6 linked regions of the Oryzias latipes genome follow. The protein of the gene in region 1 interacts with the protein of each later gene in a biochemical or structural test. Links are inferred from orthologs where the notes say so. Each region holds a gene or a part of one and is shown on either strand. Other genes may lie near its edges.

Region 1 (4,277 bases):
AACCTTCACATTTATTTGTATTTGCAGAATGGAACAGACATTATTTATTGAAATAAACAAATCAGATATAAATATATGTTTTTAATTTATTCTGAGAAATGGTAAATTTATGAGCAATTCGTGTATTTTGGTGAAATGCATGTAACTATAAATGTTTCTGGACTTTTACAAAACGATAACAACCTGTTTTAAAGATTTCCCTTTTCCCTGCCTGTAGGTCAAGGACATCTTAAAACCCGAGGTGATGGAAGAGATTGTCATGTTGACCCAACAGAAGCTGCTGGAACAGGAAGGATAAAAGGCTAATGCTAAAACCACATCCAACAACGGGGCCACCATCCACTTATCCAAAAATTAAGTTTAGTTGTCTTCTATGAATCAAAGTGAGGTGCTCAGAGATCACATTCTTTATTTGATATCAAACATTAATAATGCATATAACCTGAATGAAAATTAAAATGTTGTCCACATTTGTAAATGCTCGGTGTGACATTACATTGTGATGGTTTTGTATAAAATAAAATTTCAGTCATTTCTGTATAGTTCTCATCGTGGTCTGTATTGATAAAAAACAATGAGTACATTGAATCAATTAACCTATAAGAACCCATGGTGGACATAATTGTAACAAAATCATCAAAAGTGTGTTCTTTGGTCCACTTGGATTTTTGTATATTCAAAATAATTTTCGTTTGAAGGAAAATGGGTCTTCAGGGTTAATGTTAGATCTTAAAATAAATCTGATTATTTCACTCTTCATTAAATGTTAAATTAAATATTGTTAAATGTTTAGCAGCATTTTGGTGCTTCATGCTTCTACTAACTTAAATACTTTTTTTTCATAACAGTCTGAATCATTAGCTCTCAAGAAATGTTTTTTATTTTAAACAATAAAAAAATGAAATTCAATTTGCTACATAAAATATTTATTAGTTGGAACATGGCCTACATTTCCCTTTTTATGTACTAATTTTTGAAAATTCATTAATTGTTAGTTTTATATGCAGGATTTAATTTTTTTTCTCATAGTTGTTTGATAACTAAAAAAAATGTTCTACTCTAAGACAGGTTAATAAAAAGTGACTTTATTTATATAAAAGTGTGCAATCACCTTTGTTATTCCTGAATGTTTTTTCTAACCAACCTTGTATTCTTTTAAATGAAGAAAGCTAAAAAAAGAATTCGATTTATCCCTGCTGGGATGGCTTTTCCCCTTCTGTTTCCCTTCCTGCTCCTCCAGCAGAATCCAAACTCGTGCGCTTCCCTCATTTTTTTTCCAAACTTTATTGATCATAACATTAAATTTACAAAACATAACATCAAGGAATAAAATAGATCAGCATCAACAACTATTGTCATCATTCCAAACTTATTCAACCACAGCAAGTAACAAACGTAGCAGAAACATATCAAAAACGTGCGCTTCCCTCATGGTTTTTTTTTTTTTTTTTTGCGCTTCCCTCATGGTGCTAGCCCACGCTGAGCTCGTGACGTCACACGTAGCCCCACCCACATATTTCTGTAAACCACCTTACGTATGGAAGTATGGCGGTTCCAGCGACAGAACTGGAACTCGGCCAAAGTTTACTGCTCAGGTTTTCACGTGAAAGTGATGAATAAGCACGCAAGCATAGAGCTCGCTAGTAAAGGGCACGGCGGCTGGGAATTCGGGAGAAAATCTAGGAGACAGAGTCGTCTGGCCCTCAGAGTTCCCTCAACTTCGCCTACAAGTGGCTTTAGAGACGCGGGGGGAGACGCTCCACAAAACGGGAAGAGTGGACGCGGAAGTTTGAAACACACCAACAAGTGCTTTGATTTTTGGTTACAGAGTGTGAAACTGCGGTCACGGGACATGTTTTGGTGAGATAATGAAGTGGACTTGACTGCGGTTACCAGCAGAAACCAACCGTTGACTGTCCGGCGTGCATAGGGGTCTGGCGCTGCTTACCACCAGCAGAAGTTTGGTTAGCTTATGGCTATCGTCAACATTAGCTGGAGCTAACCAACAGTGTCAATGTTTTCATGTAAGTTTACCTCACATTTAAACACTTATCAACGTTTTATTTTTTAACTGTACAGTTTTATTAGAGTCAAAAACAAAGATGTCGTTGTCACAAAGTTGTTTATAGTTAATTAAACCACGTATGACACTAGTTTACATTATTGTGCTCGAAAGATTAAGACTAAGATAGTCGAGATAAACAACATAAGGTGTCGCTTTTCTTTAGTACTGATAAGCAAATGTATTTTCAGTATTTGTAGTTAGTTATGTGAAGCTGTAACTAAACCGAGACTAACCCAACACTATTATTTTGAGGCTGTGATTGACGTTAAACAATTTAGAAAAGTAGTTGTTCGAACCCTAAACCTAACAAACTTGAGGAAATACTTTCAATTTAACTCTCAACTTCTACAGAACAAGACATTTTTGAGCAGTTTTAACATTAAAAAGACACTTATTCTAAATTATAATTAATTTAATCTTTTGATCTGATTGGTCAGGCTCTAAAATTATTTTTTTAATCTAGATTATTATAAAATGCATTTCATGTTATTATTTAACATGTGGTCAGGTCTAATACTTTTTACAGAACAGAAATAGTCTTAAAACAACTCCCAAAATTGAAAGTTTGTTGGCGTATTGCTTAAAAGACATTTTTTTACAAGCTTATTTGTCATTTCTTTATTTAAAAAAAGTTTGATCAGATAACTTTGAATGCTGATTACTGTTGTTTACGTTTCTGCAGATTCCTGTTAGGTCCCTCATATGTCGTCTGAATGCATAAAAAAACTGAACCCTACTGGAGTAACACAGACTTGTGCAGGAGGCCTGCATCACCAATACTCCAGGAGAAGACAGTGTGAGCCCGGAAAGAGGCTCCTGTCTTCTCCAGATCCCGCCATTGCCGCTCAGCAAGCTTTCTAACCGACTCCGTCCGACTTGGATAGTCCCGGCTGCAGCCTGGCACCCTGCCCTTATGGGGCAGCAGCCGGGAAAGTTTGTCGGGGACCAAAGGAGACCCAGTCTTCCAGCCTTTATTAAGGGGGGAAAGAAGGACTTACCGCGCCATGTGAATCAGCCGATGAATGTTTTTGATTGGCACGGTAAGATCACAACCCCACTCATTTTTAAGGTAAAAATTCAGAGACAAAAAATACTGAAGGACAATCATTTGCTTTTTTCCACTTCCTATTGGCAATCACAAATTCTAGATATTAATGTCTGCATTCAATAGGCTCATGTTTTTTAATCAGTTTATATTTTAGAAGACTTTGTCTTGCGTGCACTAGCTTCAGCAAAATCTTTGGCAGAAAATTTAGGGGATTTGACATCTTTGTCATTGATTAAAAAGCTGGCAAAACAATCCATGCAACCTGAGCAGAAAATCAAATCTATGCAGCTTCAAAATCTGATCCAAAGGTATTTTACCAAACTTTTTAACCTTAAATTTACCTTTTTAAATGCAAATTCAATTGCAAATGCATTTTCCTGCAGATAAATTAACCTGGATGACAAGTTTGTGCTTAGTTTGGCCTTATATGATATAATTATTATTGGATTAATATTTCACAGATGTTTCAAAGTTCCCTGAGAAAATAAAAGCGTTTTCTCTCACATCAACTTCCATTACGGTGTGATCAATGATATGCCACTTTGAAAATGTTGTGCCTAAATCAAAAGTGTATAGGGATGTTTAAAACTCAGTCATAGATATGTAATTAAATATGAAGCTTACTTCAAAGCATTTTACAACATTATCCAATACAACCTATTGCTGAATATAACATAAAAACCTTTGTTCTTAAGCTAAAAGCTTGCTTGTCAGTAAAATGTTGACTTAAAACCTTATTTAAACACTTTTTCTTGTGATTTTTAAAATGAAAACATTTGTGCTTGTGATTAGGATTTACAATCATCATTTTTTTATGATCTGAAAAAGAGTTTACAACTGTGCTCCAAATGTACCGGATGCAATCTGATTAAAAATTGCAAATTATTCATTAATGTGGAGGACTAAAGCCCCTTTGGATTGATTTTGAAATTAAAAAAAAAAGCTTGATAGTTAGAGTGGGAAGGGAAAGAGGAAGAAGATGGAATGAACAAATTCCATTAGGAAAAAAAAACAGGGATTTTGTGGGCTTTTGGCCACAAAAGCAGAGCAAAATTAAATGCAATTTAAACCATTTCTGTCATTAGTATTTTGAAGGAGTATGAAAGCTATTTTAGCGTGCGATCATGCTCAATGATACCATCTCTGTTTTCTTATGTTATGTCC
Region 2 (3,960 bases), on another chromosome or scaffold:
TTTACTTTTTAAATATATATTTATCTGTGTGCATTTGTTCTAACCCCAGTCTTTTTCTTTAAATCCAGGGTAAAGGATTCTGTCATGTTGATGATTAAAGCACAGAAAAAATGTTTTTAAATCTTTTATTTTTCAGATGCTGCAGCTGGAGCCAGTGGGACAGACCCGTGGTGGCCACAGTCTCCCAAAAAAGAAGATTTCTGCAAAACCCAATGAACATTAAAAGAATCCTTTTAAAAATGAATATTTCACTTTTCTTTTAAAGCCAAAAAATAAATCCTGTGTTTTAGTCTGACTTTTTTGTATTTCAGTATAAGAGTGATTCTCCTCTGAGTTGAAAACACTTCATGTGCAATTTTGTTATAATTGTAATAAATGGAAAATGAAATGTGAGGTTTATTCTTTTATTGTTTTAAGGTTACGCTTGGTTGGAAAAAAAAAATTCACTTGAATTTTGTTGCAGTTATGTACGAAAAATGTCAAATTAGTAGGTCACAGCTGTTTTAAATTTGAATTTGCATTTATTGGCCCATGACTTGGATGTTTGTTTTTGAGGAACTAGTTTAAAATCAAACGCATATTTAAGCATGCGGAGGTCATGTTTAAATCCTTTTATGGTGGGGATTTTATTTTCCTATTGAAAGTAAAATAAAGGCTTCAAATTTAAACAAGATGCCAATGATGCCTGAAAGTGCTTTTACAATTCAGTGAAATCTTTGCTCTATCAAAATAAAGGTTTATTTCAATGTTTACTGAAAACCTTATTAGTCACGGATGAATAAATGAATCTAAATACCACTTTTGAAGACTTTTTTTGTTAAAATAATCACAAAAACGTGTCTGACAGACATTTTATTTGGTAAAGACATTACTTATAAACATGAAATTGAGGGGAAAATGCGTTTAAACAGATCTTCCTAATGAGAAATTTTGGATTTTTAACGGATCCCTGTTCTTTGTAGCTTTTCACATTATGAGCAAGCCTCTTTTTTTAAGATTTAAGTATACATATTTTATGTTTTTGTGGAAAACAATTTCAAACTAATATCCATTTACGAAGCTAAAACCGAAAATGTTTAGTTCTTTATTTTTTACTTGATAAAAAAAATGTTCCTTTTCCGGTTTCCTGTTTTGTCAAGGCATGGGAACACATGTGACGTCATCGCGTTCGACAGGAATCTCGTGCGCGGGAGTTTTGTTTGTAGGATCAGCAAACAGAACAAAGCAGCAGGTATTTCATCGAAACCGTGGTCTTTAGTAGAAAAATGTCACTGCTTCTAGGGGGTTCGAACCATGACACTTGGCTCTTTGCTCTTAAACCCAGAGCAGCTTTACGGAAGATCAAACTTTTTGTACGAAATTACGCAAATTAGCGCTAAAGCTAAGTTAGCGGGCGACTTCAATTTAGCCAAAAAATGCTTTGAAAGATACAAATAAGCCTTTTGAAAATATGAACAGCTGCTGTTGTTATTGGAAAACTTTGATTTATAGGAGTCAGTTTGTAGTCGTTTGGTTAAACACTGGTTTCCCCATAAGTGTTACGTCAACTTATCAATAAAGTTTTTGAATTTGAACAACGGGGTGTAACTTCAACAGGCAATGTTAACTTTAGAAAACATTTGTCTCTTCTAATCATTTATTATAAAATGCGGATTAAAAAAAGCTTTGAACACCTGCTGAGACGCTGCAGTTAACATTTTATTTTATCAACTACAACTAAGAACTACAAATCCCTGCTGCATAACAGGCTGCAAATTGGTTTGATAATGCCACTTTATTCCCTGAATTATGTAGAGGAAAGAAAAGTAATTTAAACGTATATATTTAAAATTATTTGACTAATAAAAATTCGTTAGTATTCAGTATATTGCTTAAAAACCTCTAAAGAGGATTGATGGATAATTGCATGCTGGGAAATCATGTTTCACGTGTTTAAGTTTTAAGTTACTGTTAATATTCTTATTCTGTGCTTAGGTGTTTTGGGTCGTTTAAAACGCTCCTATTTTAGTTTAAGAAAATATCCTCAAGTCTTTTATGTTTTGAAGAAAAACTAGTATTAAATCAGTAGGATTTAGTTAAATGAAAGCATTAGACCTCCTTAAACTTTCTGTCCTGTTTTGTTTTGTATCGTGGTGTTTGCTGCTCTGACACTCCTTTTTGACTCTGTGCAGTGAGGACCCTGCCTGAGGAGAATTCAGCTTTTCATTCAAGAGTCATGGCCATGAGGAGCGAGGCTCGGGTGGAGGCAGAAGTGGCGGTGGAGGAGGAGGAGAACTTTGGGCCGCAGCCTCTTAGCAGACTGGAGGTTTGAACCCTGATAGTTCTATTGTGTCTTTTGCAGAAGCTTTGTTGTCTTAAACATTTTGGTTTCTGCTTGCAGCAGTGTGGAATCAGCTCCAGCGACATCAAGAAACTGGAGGACGCAGGCTTCCACACCATTGAGGCCGTGGCGTACGCTCCCAAGAAGGAGCTGCTCAACATCAAAGGCATCAGCGAGGCCAAAGCCGACAAGATCCTAGTGAGGAACAGCAGCTTCTGGCTTCAGGGATTCTGCTGCTCCTACCTAACGGTTCTGTTATCTCTCTCAGACTGAAGCTGCCAAGCTAGTACCGATGGGTTTCACTACAGCCACAGAGTTCCACCAGAGAAGGTCGGAGATCATCCAGATCTCCACAGGATCCAAAGAGCTGGACAAACTCCTGCAGGGTGAGTTTGCTGGAGCTCCTTCACCATCCCTGAGGATTTGAAGAATGTTGACCTTTTCCTTCCTGAGTTCAGGTGGTATTGAGACAGGCTCCATCACAGAGATGTTTGGGGAGTTTCGCACGGGGAAGACGCAGCTGTGCCACACCCTCGCTGTCACGTGTCAGGTAAGATCAGCGCGGAATGGCCAAACTTCCATCTGTCTGATCACGTGAAGCTTTCAGTCCTCTGTTCTGTTTGCAGCTGCCCATCGATCAAGGGGGAGGAGAAGGGAAAGCGATGTACATCGACACAGAGGGGACCTTCAGACCAGAGAGGCTCCTCGCTGTGGCAGAGAGGCGAGTTTCCACCGTGAGCGTCAAACTCCTCATCTTACTTTGAGAAAATGTTAAAACTCTGGGCTCTTCAGGTACGGTCTGGTGGGCAGTGACGTCCTGGACAACGTGGCGTACGCCCGCGCCTTCAACACCGACCATCAGACCCAACTGCTGTACCAAGCTTCAGCCATGATGGCAGAGTCCAGGTGAGTCCTTCACACCTTCTGCTGTCCTCCAGTCCACTTCCTGAGATCAGACAGTTTGCAGGTTTCCGAACACATTCAGTCAAAGGTCACATACCCAAGTGTTTGAGCTTTAAAGTCCGATCATCTTTTTTTAAAATCTATTTTCAAATCATTCCCAGTAATCTTTTTATCATGAATATGCTGATTTTGGCCAAACTAGCATAACTGGTTGCCTCTAGTTGAATGTTTATCCTTCTTTTACAATGCAGCAAATAGGTTCATTTGAAGAATGAGAGATAAAAAATCAATACATTTAAATATATATATATGTTTATTGACATGTTATTGAGGGAAACAGTATGTCAGGAGGGGGCGGCAATGAAATAGAGGATTATGTCATCAGCATGGAGGTGGATGGAGGAGTCAGATGTTCTTAATGTTGATAACTGATGAGATCCATCAGGATAAACCTCAGACAGAACTGCCCCCTGCTGGTGGCTCTGTTAGTGCACAGACAGCGAGGACTTTTCAGGTGCCTCACTGGTCATCATATTTGGTGGACTTTGTGAGGAAGCCGCAGAGAAAACCCACACATGCAGCCAAATGTAATATTCTACCGAAGGAGGTTGACAAATGGAACTGCTGTTAAAAAAAAAGTTGTCAGTTCATCTGTATTGTAAAAAAAGCATCAGAACATCAGCTTTAGATTACTTTAGATGGTGCGTTTGTGTCTCAGGTATGCCCTGCTGATCGTG
Region 3 (2,309 bases), on another chromosome or scaffold:
AAATATGTGATTTTGAGAATGAAAAGCTTTTGATCCACATGAACTGATTTCCACCATCACATGTTTAAGCATGTTTGAATTATGCTGTCAAAATCTCAGTATCTCCGTCCTCAAATGTGTGTTTTTTGTAAATTCGGATGATCGTGAATACATTTAATAAATGAGAGGAACATTTGGAAAGAGAAACCTGTCAGAATGAAACATGGATGAATTCCATCTCCCACTGGAGTATTAGTTTGCTTAAACTGGTCTTCAGCTTCAACTTCAGCTGCTTTTGGGCATTATGGGACAGAAGGGGTCAAAAAGCACCAACTACACAGTCGCTGTATGAAACTGCACCCACCCAAAACTCTGGATTATTTTCAGAGAAATAAACTGTTTTAACTCTTTGGGGCAAAATACAAGAGATAAAAACAATTGTAGGAATTTCATAAAGTGTAATCCAGTGTGTGGACTCTGCTCGTTCATTATAGTCAGATTGAAATGTATTTAAAAGGGAACGTTAGAGAGAGTTTCCCACGGGTTCTGCTGTGTGCTGTGAAACAGGGTCAGGACGACATGCGGCAGGATGCAGTGATGCAGCAGGTCTTCAGCATGTGCTCCATGTTGCTGCAGCGCAATAAGGACACTCGGAAGAGGAAGCTGAACATCCGAAGATACAAGGTTCCTGTTGTCCCTAATAAATAACAGTATTCCTCTTTAAATTCCCACTCTCATCCGCTTTTGATCTGTTGTGAAGGTGTTCCCGGTGGTCTTTTAATTGCTCTTTTTAGCAACACAAAAAAAAAACCTGTGTCATTTTCTGGGACAAAACTTCTGCAGAGCAACAGTAGTTCAGTAGTTGTGGCACAGAATAATCCTGCACTGATTTCCCATCATCCCTTTGGTTACACAGTTTTGAACCAGATTCCAGCTCAGATGCGGAAAACAAAGAGGTTCATGGATCTATTTGTCTGCAAGTGAATCAATCAGAATGAAGCAGAGCAGGAAGGTTGTGGCCCGCTAATTGTAGTTTGTATGTAACAACTATAACAGCTTCCCCACAATTTGAAGAAACAGTTTTAATCTTAAGATTCCTAATATATGTCCTCCATCTTCAGAGAATTGCTATAAAAACATGTTGAAAAACATAAAAAATTTGTTTTTCTTCTTTAAAATCTTTCTCTTTAAAGACCAACTCTGATGAAAATGCTGTTTTAGGTGTTTTTAACATGTTCTAGTGGCATTTTTCTGATAACGGAGGACACAATGAAAACGATACCCATAATTGCATTTCTGAGTATTTCTCACTGGAAAAGCTTTTACAATAGATCAAAAGAGGATCGGATTGGGACTTTACTGGTTTCTGGTTCTTGTCTAATGTCCTTCTAAAGCAAGACGTTGTGGTTCACACTCGATCCAGGTGGTGCCGTTCTCGCAGCGCAGCGGCGTGTTGGAGTGGTGCTCCGGCACCATGCCCATCGGGGAGTTTCTAACAGAACCGAACAAAGGAGCCCACAAACGCTACCGACCTCAGGATTGGACCAGCCTGGCCTGTCGCAAAAAAATGATGGTATTCCTTCAGCAGAACGTTGAAAGAGCATTTTAAGTGAACACTACAGGGTCCTAAATAAACTTCTGCTTTCTTTCCACGTCTTTGCTGTGATTGCAGGAGGCTCAGAGTCTGGGATTCGACTACAAGCTTGAGGCCTACATGAACGTTTGCAAAAACTTCAGACCGGTCTTCAGGTATTTTTGCATGGAACGATTCCTAGACCCCGCGTTATGGATGGAGAGACGACTGGCTTACACCCGCAGTGTTGCCACCTCCTCTATAGGTACCTGATGTTGCTATGGCAACTTGTTGACCCAATACATCCTGCATTGACCTGGAATGTTATCTTGTTGAAACAATGGTTGTTTTTGCACCACTGTGTTGAACTTTCCTTACAAAACTTTAGGCTTTGTTTTAAACGTGAGCAAAAATTTAAATCTTGTGTTTAACTAAAAGCCTAGAATAAAAACTATGCACTGGAAAAACACGCCCCTTAGATAAAAAGTCAAAAATTATTACCCCATTGGAAGTTTTCTTTTAAATAAGAAAAAAAAAACTGTCAATGGGGCAAGAAAAGGTGTCTTACCAAGAGTTCTTTTTCTAAGACGTGTTTTTTCAAACTAAGATTATGTTGCCATTAAAAAACTTGATAAGATGTTTTTCTTGCAAGACAGAAAATCTTTTTTTTTTTAAATACGTTTTCCTTTTTTACTTTCTTCAGATTCATTTTGTGTAGAAACGTTCTATTGTGTATGTAGAGACAAAAATCCTCTTT
Region 4 (4,172 bases), about 4.7 Mb from region 1:
TCCACTATTGTGTTTTGTCAGGGAGGATTTTTATGTGGCACAGCCTTTTGCATTTTAAAAACTCTTTTTTTTCCCTTCCGTTGTATTTCTTATTGAGTCAAGTAGCAGTTTACTATTAGTGTGTCACCGTCCAATTCCAGACCATATATACATTAAGATCGAGTGAAAGGGGAAGTTAAGAAACATCAGGAAATGAAATAAGAGAAACATGCTTTTTTCTCCTTTAGAGATACTTAACAGAGAAAACGGGCTTTTTCATTTTAGCGAGTCTATATCTCAGTCTATTATAAAGCTACACATCTGCAGAGGTATCAGCCATAAAAAATATCTAAGCACTAAGATATAAGGAGTTTTGAAAGTGTAGCTAAAAATTTTTGCTTTAAAATCTCTGACAAATTCAGCAACTCCCTGAACCTGAAAGGGATTCAGCAGGTTTAGGAAATGCATGGATGGATGAATTCAGGCTAAAACCAACAAAAACAATGGTTCACTTCTATTTAGCATAAAAATAACAGTAACAAACACAAAGCACTGATGTACTTTTCTACTGAAGCTCCTGCCAGGTTTACGTCAGAGAAAAATCAGCCCAAAGGTTGCAGACCCCTGGTATACTGTGACATTTCTCACACAATATTTGAGTAGTTTGGTTTTATTAAGTTATTTTTTCTCTCTTATTTACTTCAGAATAGTAGCCTAGTCTATGATCAGTGGTGGATTTAAAACATTTCATATGGGGGGGCAGTAGACTTTAATTGGGTGGCAAATGTGATAAGCAGAGAGGAAGGCCATTACAAATGAAAGGGTTAACCATGTTTCATAGTTTTATTATTGTTATTAATAACAACACTGCATTTTTTTTTTTTGCTGAGGTGCCATTACTAACAAAGCTTGCATTAATGATTTCTTAATCTTTGTGAAAATAATAATACTGTTTCAAAAATTGGTTGGGGGCAACTGCCCCCTTCTGCCCCCCTGTAGCTCTGGCCCTGCTCATGGTGGTTAAATGGAGGAACTCCTGCTTCACACGATTCCCTTTTGTTTATTAGCCGTGCGATCATTGAAAATTTGGCCGCACATCTTTTGGTTGGTGTTTTGTCAGGTCTAAAATGGAATAGGAAGAAAAAGAAAAGAAAACTTAAACCGGCACATTAAAAAAGAAAACTTTATTGAAAATGAACAGTTTTACAGAATATATAGACAAGGGCATCCGAAACAAATTAATGAACACACTTTTTTTTTACTCACAATAATAAAAGCAAGGGACATGAAATGACAACAGTGACACATCAAAGTGGGCCCGCCAGAAACGTCATCACTCGCCCACCTTTTCCTCCGCCCACGGCCCCACCCCTTCCTCTCCTGCTCCCCTCCGTGACGTGCAGATAGAAAGCGGGACCAGCCCTCCCGTCGCCATTTTTCCCGTGTCCTGCTTGCGCTTTCTGCTGGCTGAAACAAGCGGGACCCGCTGAAATTAGAGAACGGATATCGCACGGAACCGGCACGCCTGGATCTCTCGCGGGCACTCGAGGAATGCACGCGAGAACTGGAGCGCAGCAGACACGCGGCGGCCGTCATATCATTTTTTGGTGTGAAGACGTGTTGCGAGCCGCCATTTTTCCCCCCCTCAAAAGTCTACTCCGACCCGAGAAAGGGGAGTTAAACACCCCAATTCCGTGACGTCCGCCTTTTTGTGACACCAAGAGGATACAGAGTCGGTATTTTCTTTCTCTACGCTGTCACAATTTTTGTTTTTAGTTGCAAACATGGAGATGGAACGCGCCTGAGGCCACCCTTTCCGTTCTCGTAACTGACACTGACTGAACTGAAGCTAAATAATTGTGAGTTTTCGCGGAAGGCGGAACAACGAGAGGAAGCTTTATTGATCATTTGTTGCTTCAGTTTCCGTCGATGTTCGTCCGTTTCGGGGCCGTTAGCTGCTCGTCACATTATGCTCCCGGGCTGGATCAGCAGGTCGGTCGCAGCCTGTCGCTGAAAACGTCAGGTTGATCTTTTGTTTATTTGTTTTAATCGGGTCCTCGGGCGACGAACGCCCTACCCCGCATCTGCCAAGTACTGCAGCTGGATGCGATAGGCCCGTTTGAATCTAACTTATTCAATAGTTCTCATTTTCTTCTTTATATTAACTTATTTTTTAAAGATTTTTTTTAAAATGTCCGCGTCCCGATTTGACTCGTCTGATCGCTCGGCCTGGTATTTCGGACCAGTGTCGCGACAGGAGGCGCAGAACAGGTTACAGGGGCAGAGACACGGCATGTTTCTGGTGCGAGACTCGTCCACCTGTCCCGGGGACTACGTGCTGTCGGTGTCCGAAAACTCCAAAGTATCTCACTATATCATCAACTCTTTGCCCAGTAAGAGGTTCAAGATAGGAGATCAAGAGTTCGAAAACCTCCCAGCCCTTCTGGAGTTCTACAAAATCCATTACCTGGACACAACAACGCTAATAGAACCAGCATCCAGGTACGATCGTGACGTCTTCCAGCATCCCGGTAGACGACCACTTTCTGTTCTGTTATTCCTCAGCAAATATGTCGTTGAATTAGCATGTTATTGGACAGTTCCTGTTGAGTTTGTTTTAACATTAGCTAAGATGTTCATGAATAACTAGCCTGATCTGTACACAACTGTGTGTGACATTAGGGGGTGTAACAGTTCGATTTGTATCATAATTCATAGTTGCCAACCCGATTCATAGTCGATATTGATTCATTTTGAATGATCCGATCATCCACTGACCTGAAATCAATCCACCATGACATATTTCGCCAAAATTTCAACCAGTTCGACTCAGAGATAAATACTTGGATACTCAACAGTGCAGGTGAAATCTTCCAGATTCCCTGTCTTTCTTGGAAGATAATCAGGTGTAAATTAAATATGTGTACAAACAAACAAACAAGTAAACAACAATTAATGGCAAATGTATTTTAGTCTAACAAAGTTCAGCCCACTTTTGTTTTTCCACATAAGAATAATACAAAGGCCATTTTTAGAACATTCTACCACACTGAATGGTGACGTCTTAGCTAAATTCATAGTAGTTCCTTAAATTGAACTGGAACGATGGACTGATCTTTTTTTATTTTATTTATTTATTTATTTTGCCGCTATCACGTTTGTTGTCCTCTCTCAAGGTCGTTTTTACGTTATAGAAAAATAAACAATCCAAATGGTATTTTCCTGTATCGATTTGAAGGTCATTTTGAAATAATTTAATAATGGTATAGATCAATTCTATTAACAACAGATAAATCGATCTGGAAATCATTTAAGGCAATTGATCGTTACACCCCTGTAGGGTATAGTACATTTGCGTGTGTATTCTAGTGTTTTTACACACTCTTACACACCAAGGCATTAGTGCACTTCATGCAGATGATACCTTTCTTAACCCTTTGACACCGTAACTTTAGCTGCTGTGTTGATGGTCTTGAATTACAGTAACTCTTCAACCGTTTAGGCAATTAACATATGTTCTGAACTATAAGTTGCAGCAGCTAAACAATACATCATAAGGAAGGGGGGAAATCATCTATTAGTCACACTGGAGTTTAAGTCGCACTTTTTAACATAGTACGTGACCAAGAACTAACGTTTAATCTCTAAAGGAGATCATACTAATGGAAAAGATAACAATAATGCACTTATTATCTGCACACTTCACTACAAACTGATGCATGTATAGTGCAAGCATCAGTGCATTTTTAGCCAGTTTTCTCAACTGTAGAATCTGTTGGAATTTTGTTACTTGGGTAAATGGTCCAAGAGTTACAGTAGTTTGAAGAGCATGTGTTGTTTCATGTCTATTAAAGGGTTAACAAGGAACCATTGATACACTCTTCTACGCAAAACATTTCAGTTGGGTCATATCTTTTCAGGTACCCAAGCACTATTGGTGGTCCGGTCCAGTCTATGATTGGTCCAGAGGATAACTTTGAGTACGTGCGGACACTATATGACTTCACTGGTAGTGACGCGGAGGACCTTCCATTCAAGAAAGGGGAGATCCTTATCATTTTGGAAAAGCCAGAGGAACAATGGTGGAGTGCCAAAAATAAAGATGGACGCGTCGGGATGATCCCCGTGCCCTACGTGGAGAAATTGGTACGACCCTCCCCCCATCCTGGCCAGCCTTCCCACGGCTCGCGCAA
Region 5 (3,500 bases), on another chromosome or scaffold:
GTCACCTTGACCAGGTGTGCTCGCCTTATCGTGCTCTAATGATTGTTTTTTTCTAGTTATGTAAAGCTAGAATTTCTTTATGTTTCTATTTTCCTACCAATTTCTTTCCTTTTTATTATCATGCTTTTTAAGAGATTATTAAGAATCTGTGACGTTAAAGGTATCCCTTATAACAATGGCGCCTTCTCTCAACATTTGTCACGATGAATAATCACAGCGAGGGAAAAGTAGAACTCGGTGTACGAGCTTTACCAGTCCAGGACAACAGAGAACAAGAAGAAGGAAGTTCTACATTTCTCTGTCAGACAAAAAGACCATCCATATAAATAAAATGCATGAACTTGAAACACTCTGGACTGACAGAATACAGATCACACAAACACAAAAAATAAACTCTCCATCAAAGAAAAATAAAAAAAGCACCTCCCACCCTTCTCTGCTGCTCCATCTTCACTCAAAATAAACTACAAATGTGTATTATTTTAGAATATTAAACTACAGTGATACAAATAATCCTCAAGGGATCCATAAATGTTACATCTAGTTTAATGATATAGTCTTTACTAGTGATGTGTAGATGAGGCCACGTGAAGCGTTTCAACACATTGCCCAAACTGTAATGATACTGTGTCGATACTGTGTCACTTAATACTGACTGGACCAAAAACGTTATTGCAGGGAACCAAGTTAAGAAACTCAGCTGATATACTTTTTAAATTGAAGCTAAACACAATATTTGTCATAGTAGTTCCTTATTCCCATGTCTCGCTCTATAATGCCCCAGCATTAGGAAAGTGCTTTTAAGTTTGACGGTTCTGCAGAACAAATGCCACATTTAACCTCTGAAACATAAAATGACTGATTAGAGTTCGTTGGAAATAGAATTATATTCTGCTAGATCAAGCGGAAACCGAGAGGAAGAGGAGAAACAAAAAGCCAGAAACACTATTAAAACTATTAAATAATTCCGCGAACCTCATTAAAACACCACATTTAACACCTTAAGTAAAGATTCAGTAAAATAAAACCTCAAACACAGGTGGGCGGGGAAAACGGCGGCACACGAGCGCGAGAATCATTCAACAGCTGGAAGCAGGGCGCGCATCTGAGGCATCAAAAACTGTTCTTCAGTCCAACTCACCGCTGGACTTATTTAGCACCCAAGTGACAGTAATGTAACCAAGAAGATCTGGTAATTTTTCAAAATATAATAACTTTCAAAATAAAAGACTGCTTAGAGACTCATTATAAAACTAACTAAAACCTGCAAAGTTGACGCGAAAACCACACAAATCAAATTTTCTCAGCAAAATCAAACCCACCCAATTGGGTGGAAAACCGCATGATCTGGCAACACTGCTGGTAGACGCGCTTCCTTGTTTGGCTCACAGTGGCTGTATCGGTCACGTGACTTCTCCTAAAGGGATACGCGCAGCGACACAGGGTTTCACTCTATGAGCTTTACACGTGAGCCGATGCGTCTGTGTTGCCAGACCCATCAATAGTCTTCACACTTTATATATTTACCATCATTTGACTCTAACTCAAGTACCGGTAGTTGATGGAGTCCACCCTTCTTCCATAATGAGAAACTGGAATTCCCTATTCCTAGGATCACATATGGAAATGTGATTATCTATTTATTGTGAAATATCTCCAATAAAAAGAGCAGTGAAGGAGGATGGAGGCTCCTCAGGGAATTCCTGTTTTAATGTCTTCTTAACACCGATCACCAGGTTAAAGATTTATCACAGATTCACCTAGGCTGGCAGCTGCGCTTCTGAGCTTGGTTGTCCATTTTGGTCACCATAGCAGTGGCAGCTGTGGTGCAGAGGAAGAGCGGTCGACCTCTGATTGGAAGATCGCAGGTCCGGTTCCCGCTGCGCTGAATGTGTTGAACCTCACATTTCTCCTCATGGTTATAGAATGACCCCAGTGTTTGGCAGTGGAGCCGTCATCAGTGTGTGAATGTGTGTGCATGAGTGAATGTTAGAAGTTTTTATGAACTTTTCTGGCAGTAGTGAAGAAGAATCTGACTAAAGTTCAATCATCTCTGCAGTTGATGATGTCTGCCATGTATGCAATTTGCAAAGTAAAAAGCGTCGACCTGCGCTTCAAGTTAATCGTCTCTGCCTACAAGAACATGCCCAACACCAGCCAAGAGGTGATGCAACTTTCAAAAAACTCTAATATAAACTCTTCTTTTTGAACAGTGACTTATGAGAATGTTGTTTTTTCAGACCTTTAAGCACGTGTTGATCACAGAAGGCCAGTACGACTCCATCATCGTCTTCTACAATCAAGTGTTTATGCAGAAGTTAAAAACCAACATCCTGCAGTATGCATCCACCCGGGTGAGAGACTTCAGACCTGTTTAACAGTGTGCTTTTATTGCAAATGTACTCGTCTCAGTGCATCTGCTGTCCTTTCTCTCCAGCCACCTACTCTTTCTCCGATCCCTCAAATCCCATGCAGTCCCTACAAGTTCCCAAACTCCCCTCTGCGTGTGCCGGGAAGCAACAATGTGTACATTTCTCCTCTAAAAAACTCACGCCTGTCTCCGGGTATGATGACTCCTCGCTCCAGGTCAGTCCCAAGAGCTTAGAATATGTCAATACTTTAGAAATATTTCCTTACAATATATTAATTTTTTTCCTTTGTGCAGAATGCTGGTTTCCATTGGTGAATCTTTTGGGGTTTGTGATTTTTTAAAATAAAAATTATTATTTTACTCATGGCTGGAGAAGCTGCTACATTTTCTTTTCTTTCCTTTTTTTGGTCTACAGTTTGCCAACCGCTTCCAGAAAATCAACCAGATGGTGAACAGCGGTGACCGCGCTCACAAGAGGACTCTGGATGGTGGCTCTGCTCTAAAGCCTCTGAAGAGGCTACGCTTTGATGTGGACGGGCAGGATGAAGCTGATGGCAGGTTTGTGACAATTCGACTTCAAAATTCAAGCTTGAGAGTACCGCCACAAATCAGGCTTATTTGACTTAACATCTGGATCATTTTTTCATTTCAATTTACAGCAAATCTGGAGGAGAGTCTGCACTGATACAGAAGCTTGCAGAGATGAGTAAGAAAAACACCTGTGCCTTTGCATGTCCCGCTGAACTCCTGCGGTTGTTTTCTCACACATCTTCATGCTGCTTTTCTTGCAGGCTCCACTCGCAGTCGAATGCAAGAGCAGAAGATGAAGGAGGATGCAGAATCCAGGAAAAAAACAACCTAAGATCTGCTGGACTGACCTGCACTGTTTGAACACTACTGTTTGTCCGCACACAAAGTGAAACCCAAGTTGCTTTTGGATTTTTTTGTGCACCTTTAGCTGCTTTTAGTTTATAGTTTGATTGAAAGAGTAGTTTGATGACATCGATTCTCTCCCCTTTTTTTGTCTTTGTCATGCTTTGAGTTTTTTAACTAAATAATGACTTTTATAGAATTGTGGTTGTTCCTGATGTGGGTTTGGTTTATTATAGTTGCTCCTTTTAAGGAGGAA
Region 6 (3,500 bases), on another chromosome or scaffold:
GAGGGATGGCTCTACTTTCCCATCATGCTCTGTTTTCAGCCTGCAGTGGAAGCAGAGGAATTTGGGAGGGCTGCTGTGTTCTTTGTGTATGAGGGTAGAAAGTCCAGACTGAACGCAGCTCAAGTCTCCAACGATCCGGGCGAGCTCCACCTTCACCTGCTCCGATTCATCTTCCTGCACAGACCTGCAGCGCCCAGCAAAGGAAAAAAGCAACATGATTAATGACCAAATAAGGAAATCCAACATGTTGTGACTGCACGGGAAGTTTACGCACAGGAGAGTTGTCCCGATGAGGCTGTGGAACCCATTTCCCAGGTGATGAAGAAGGACCGGGAAAACCCGGACGGCTGCAGCTCTGACGGATTCATCCCGATTCTGCAGCGCTTTTGTAAAGACGCACAGGCGCCACGTCTCACACACGCCGCCATGCAGGAAGGCGAGCAGCGACACACAGTCTGCCTCGATTTCAGGTGCTGGAGAAGAACACAGACAGATTCTAAACCTTTAAAAACACCTTTAGAACCAATATATGAGGGAAAAAAAACATTTGACAAACTGAATATTTGACAGATTTAATATGTCATAAGTGTGTACTGCTTGTATAAATGCAAATATGATTTGAAGCAATTACAATGTTAAAATGATAGCATTACTTTCTTAATCAATTATTACTTTATGTATAAGACCCACTCCGATGAAAATGGTGCTTAGAACTTGTTCTTATGGCTTATTTCCCATGATGGAGGACATATTTAAAGAAAATTCAGCTTAAAATAGCATCTCTGAGTATTTCTTTATTTAAATCAGGTGAAGATGAAAAAATTCTGATAGAAAATATCGTATTTGTGATGCTAGGTCCCTGCTCCACTCCATTCTGATGTACGTACATCTGTTTTCCACATCTGGGCTGGAATCTGGCTCTAAGCTGTACAACTGGATAGCTTCAATATTGCTCGCCATTTTAGTTGCGCCCCTAAATGGTAGGTTGGAGGCGTAAGGGGCTGTAAGCTAGCGGAAGAGAGCATAAACAGAGCGCTCGAACTGTTGATGTCCATGAAAACAATGTTTTTTGATTTTATTTAGCCTAAAAAGGCCATTATTAAACCTAAAATACCCCTGAGAACACTTTTATAATAGAGCAAAGAATTATCTTAAAATAGATTTGACATATTTATGTATTTTTATTGCCTTTTCTTTTGTGTTTATTGCTTAAAATAAACCAAATTAATTCATCCAGAAACTTCTCAGCAAATAAAAACACTCACAAAGAGAGCTGTTGAGCTTCTGGGCCAAAGCAGGCAGCCAGGAAGGGAATCTCGAACTCTTAAAGGCGAAGGCAGACTTGTTCTCGCACACCCAGGGCAGAGACAGCAGAGCACACACATCCCGCTGCAGCTCATCCTCCCCTTTTCTACCCACTGTGGCAACAAGACGGGACAGCCAGGACTCAGTTTAGACCAAAAAGTTGCTTTTCAAGACCAAATATTACAAGCTTCTCTTGCATGTTTACTCACACGTCAGGTACAACACGAAGTCAAGAATCCCAACAGTGGCACGAACGGCAGCCTGGAAACGATCCTGCTCTCCAACGGCTCCTTCCAACACCACACGGCAGCTTTTCAGGACTCTGCTGAGGGTTTCGGCGGACACCCACAGGAGAGGACACGGACTGCTCACCAAAAACAGAGTCACTTCATCAGAACACGGCATCTGCACGAAGGGGAGGAAGCCACAACTTTACCTGATGGGGGAGAAGCAGCAACCCGCCACATGGAGGATGAGGGCCAGACCCTGCAGAGCGAACAGAGTCTGGGGACTCCCCGGTTCTGCAGAGCTCAGAGGGTCCAGCAGCTCCTCCAGCCGAATTTTCAGCACGGCCCAAACCTCGCTGCGGGCGCTCATGTCCACGTCACTAAGAAAACACAGGCAGAACCGTTTCAGACAAACCTTTTCCCATTGTTTTTCTGAAAAGTCATTAAAAAATTTAAAATTTTAAAATTTAAAAAAACTTGAGTGAGAAACAGCCTAATTTCTCAGTTTTTGGAATAGCCTTCAAGCTACATTTTCTGCACAATGAGAGGACAACCACACGTTCGTGTGCCCCCCCCCCCCCCCCCCCCCCCCCTCAGCCGAGCCTGAACTTACTTCAAAGATGTGTTGTTGGTTGATGACTTGCAGGATCTTTTCGCAGCAACTTCTCCGTCTTCTTCTTCCCGGATCACATTAGCAGTCTCAGCTTTGAGGGCAGCTTGGAGAAAGCCCTGAGCACACTGCCAAATTACAAAAGTTACAAAACAGCAGGACTAGAAATACAACAACATTAGACGAAATTGGAAGTCTCACTCATCATATATTAAAAGTAAAGTGTCTAAAACTAAATTTGTTTGGAATAATTTTTTCTATTTATATATTGGAGGATAAATTTAAGGAAAATTAAGCTCTAAATTGCATTTCTGAGTATTTCTTTGTTCAAGTTGCTGCGAATCAGGAGCTGAAGAATAAAAGCCTTGAGAAAGCTTGTAGCAGCTTTGTACAGAGTTATGGCAGACGACAAGCTTCCTGCTCCATTCCACTCTAAAGCATTCACTTGTAGACGGCTTGATCCGTCTACGTCATTGTTTTCCTCTTCTGAGCTGGCATCTGGCTTCAAACTGGATAGCTCCAATATTGCTCACTGTTTTTGTTACAGCGTTAAAGGGCCCCCCACAACCCTGAGCTCGCAGAAGGGCGTGTAAACAGATGTATGACGGGAAGTGGGGGCAGGCTTACTCCGTACCTACGGCCCTGCCCACAACTTCTCTGCAGAAATATCTAATGAACTCCTGCCGCTCTGCAGAAACTATGTCTTGGGAAAGGACACCATTTTTTTTTTATTTTGGCTAAAAATGACATAATCCTGATGGAAAGATCGCTTGGAACACTTGGAACACAACAAATCAAAAAGATGATCAGAGTGGGACTTTAGGTATTATTTATCCTGTGAAATGCTGAGAATGTTTCATTGTCTTCCTTATTGCGTTGCAGTGTCTGATAATAAATAGAAAACCAATTTAATTATTTAATGGTTGCTGCAGAAAATCGTTTTTTAAATAGCTGGATATTGGGAAACGGTCAGGAACGTTAAAATTTGAAGATTTAGTGAAACAGCAAGATTTATAAAGGCACGTTTAAAGTAGTGGGATCTTACAAAAGTTAATTCTTTTTACTTCAAAAGATGAAAATCAAAGAAGTTATAATAAATAAAGTTTTGCCTCAAATTTATAAGGGGATTTTAAAAAAATACACCTCGTGCGTCCACAGATTCATAACCCTCAGTTTTAACAGTTAAAATCTGTCTAACACAAGGGGCTTCGGCTCCTTTTTGCTTCGCTGTTGGATGGGACAAGTAACGTAAAAAAAAAGGAAATTACAGGAGAAGATATGATTTCAAGCTGCTCTACTACAAAACAAACATGCTTTTTTTGTTTTGTCAGGATAAAAGTTTTGAATTCCAAGCAGAA

What was found.
Region 2: the proteins of abl1 (region 1) and rad51 form a complex in vitro, tested with the Homo sapiens proteins (2 studies listed by BioGRID). The link is inferred for Oryzias latipes from reciprocal best matches to the Homo sapiens genes ABL1 and RAD51.
Region 3: of the proteins of abl1 (region 1) and atm, one has a biochemical effect on the other in vitro, tested with the Homo sapiens proteins (3 studies listed by BioGRID and IntAct, with this or other methods). The link is inferred for Oryzias latipes from reciprocal best matches to the Homo sapiens genes ABL1 and ATM.
Region 4: the proteins of abl1 (region 1) and crkl form a complex in vitro, tested with the Homo sapiens proteins (4 studies listed by BioGRID and IntAct, with this or other methods). The link is inferred for Oryzias latipes from reciprocal best matches to the Homo sapiens genes ABL1 and CRKL.
Region 5: the proteins of abl1 (region 1) and rb1 form a complex in vitro, tested with the Homo sapiens proteins (3 studies listed by BioGRID). The link is inferred for Oryzias latipes from reciprocal best matches to the Homo sapiens genes ABL1 and RB1.
Region 6: of the proteins of abl1 (region 1) and atr, one has a biochemical effect on the other in vitro, tested with the Homo sapiens proteins (2 studies listed by BioGRID, with this or other methods). The link is inferred for Oryzias latipes from reciprocal best matches to the Homo sapiens genes ABL1 and ATR.

What each region holds. Positions count from the first base shown.
Region 1 is NC_019870.2:12,824,770-12,829,046, reverse strand, and holds the start of abl1 (tyrosine-protein kinase ABL1), read left to right. Parts: upstream 1-1,477; 5' UTR 1,478-2,024; intron 2,025-2,747; 5' UTR 2,748-2,978; coding exon 2,979-3,105; intron 3,106-4,277. Other genes in the region: exosc2 (exosome complex component RRP4), read left to right, coding at 218-298. UniProt on the Homo sapiens protein: Non-receptor tyrosine-protein kinase that plays a role in many key processes linked to cell growth and survival such as cytoskeleton remodeling in response to extracellular stimuli, cell motility and adhesion, receptor endocytosis, autophagy, DNA damage response and apoptosis.
Region 2 is NC_019882.2:19,723,064-19,727,023, forward strand, and holds the start of rad51 (DNA repair protein RAD51 homolog 1), read left to right. Parts: upstream 1-1,160; 5' UTR 1,161-1,231; intron 1,232-1,267; exon of another isoform or gene 1,268-1,352; intron 1,353-2,171; 5' UTR 2,172-2,215; coding exon 2,216-2,305; intron 2,306-2,380; coding exon 2,381-2,518; intron 2,519-2,588; coding exon 2,589-2,706; intron 2,707-2,778; coding exon 2,779-2,870; intron 2,871-2,946; coding exon 2,947-3,041; intron 3,042-3,112; coding exon 3,113-3,226; intron 3,227-3,941; coding exon 3,942-3,960. Other genes in the region: centromere-associated protein E, read left to right, coding at 137-216.
Region 3 is NC_019871.2:24,904,862-24,907,170, forward strand, and holds part of atm (serine-protein kinase ATM), read left to right. Parts: intron 1-546; coding exon 547-663; intron 664-1,402; coding exon 1,403-1,552; intron 1,553-1,651; coding exon 1,652-1,817; intron 1,818-2,309.
Region 4 is NC_019870.2:17,501,482-17,505,653, forward strand, and holds the start of crkl (crk-like protein), read left to right. Parts: upstream 1-1,372; 5' UTR 1,373-2,170; coding exon 2,171-2,481; intron 2,482-3,899; coding exon 3,900-4,172. UniProt on the Homo sapiens protein: May mediate the transduction of intracellular signals.
Region 5 is NC_019872.2:15,912,888-15,916,387, reverse strand, and holds part of rb1 (retinoblastoma-associated protein), read left to right. Parts: coding exon 1-14; intron 15-2,059; coding exon 2,060-2,164; intron 2,165-2,240; coding exon 2,241-2,354; intron 2,355-2,437; coding exon 2,438-2,586; intron 2,587-2,665; coding exon 2,666-2,696; intron 2,697-2,786; coding exon 2,787-2,929; intron 2,930-3,030; coding exon 3,031-3,077; intron 3,078-3,162; coding exon 3,163-3,233; 3' UTR 3,234-3,500. UniProt on the Homo sapiens protein: Tumor suppressor that is a key regulator of the G1/S transition of the cell cycle. The hypophosphorylated form binds transcription regulators of the E2F family, preventing transcription of E2F-responsive genes.
Region 6 is NC_019880.2:5,838,700-5,842,199, forward strand, and holds part of atr (serine/threonine-protein kinase ATR), read right to left. Parts: intron 2,271-3,500; coding exon 2,146-2,270; intron 1,913-2,145; coding exon 1,742-1,912; intron 1,670-1,741; coding exon 1,515-1,669; intron 1,419-1,514; coding exon 1,266-1,418; intron 474-1,265; coding exon 275-473; intron 185-274; coding exon 1-184. UniProt on the Homo sapiens protein: Serine/threonine protein kinase which activates checkpoint signaling upon genotoxic stresses such as ionizing radiation (IR), ultraviolet light (UV), or DNA replication stalling, thereby acting as a DNA damage sensor.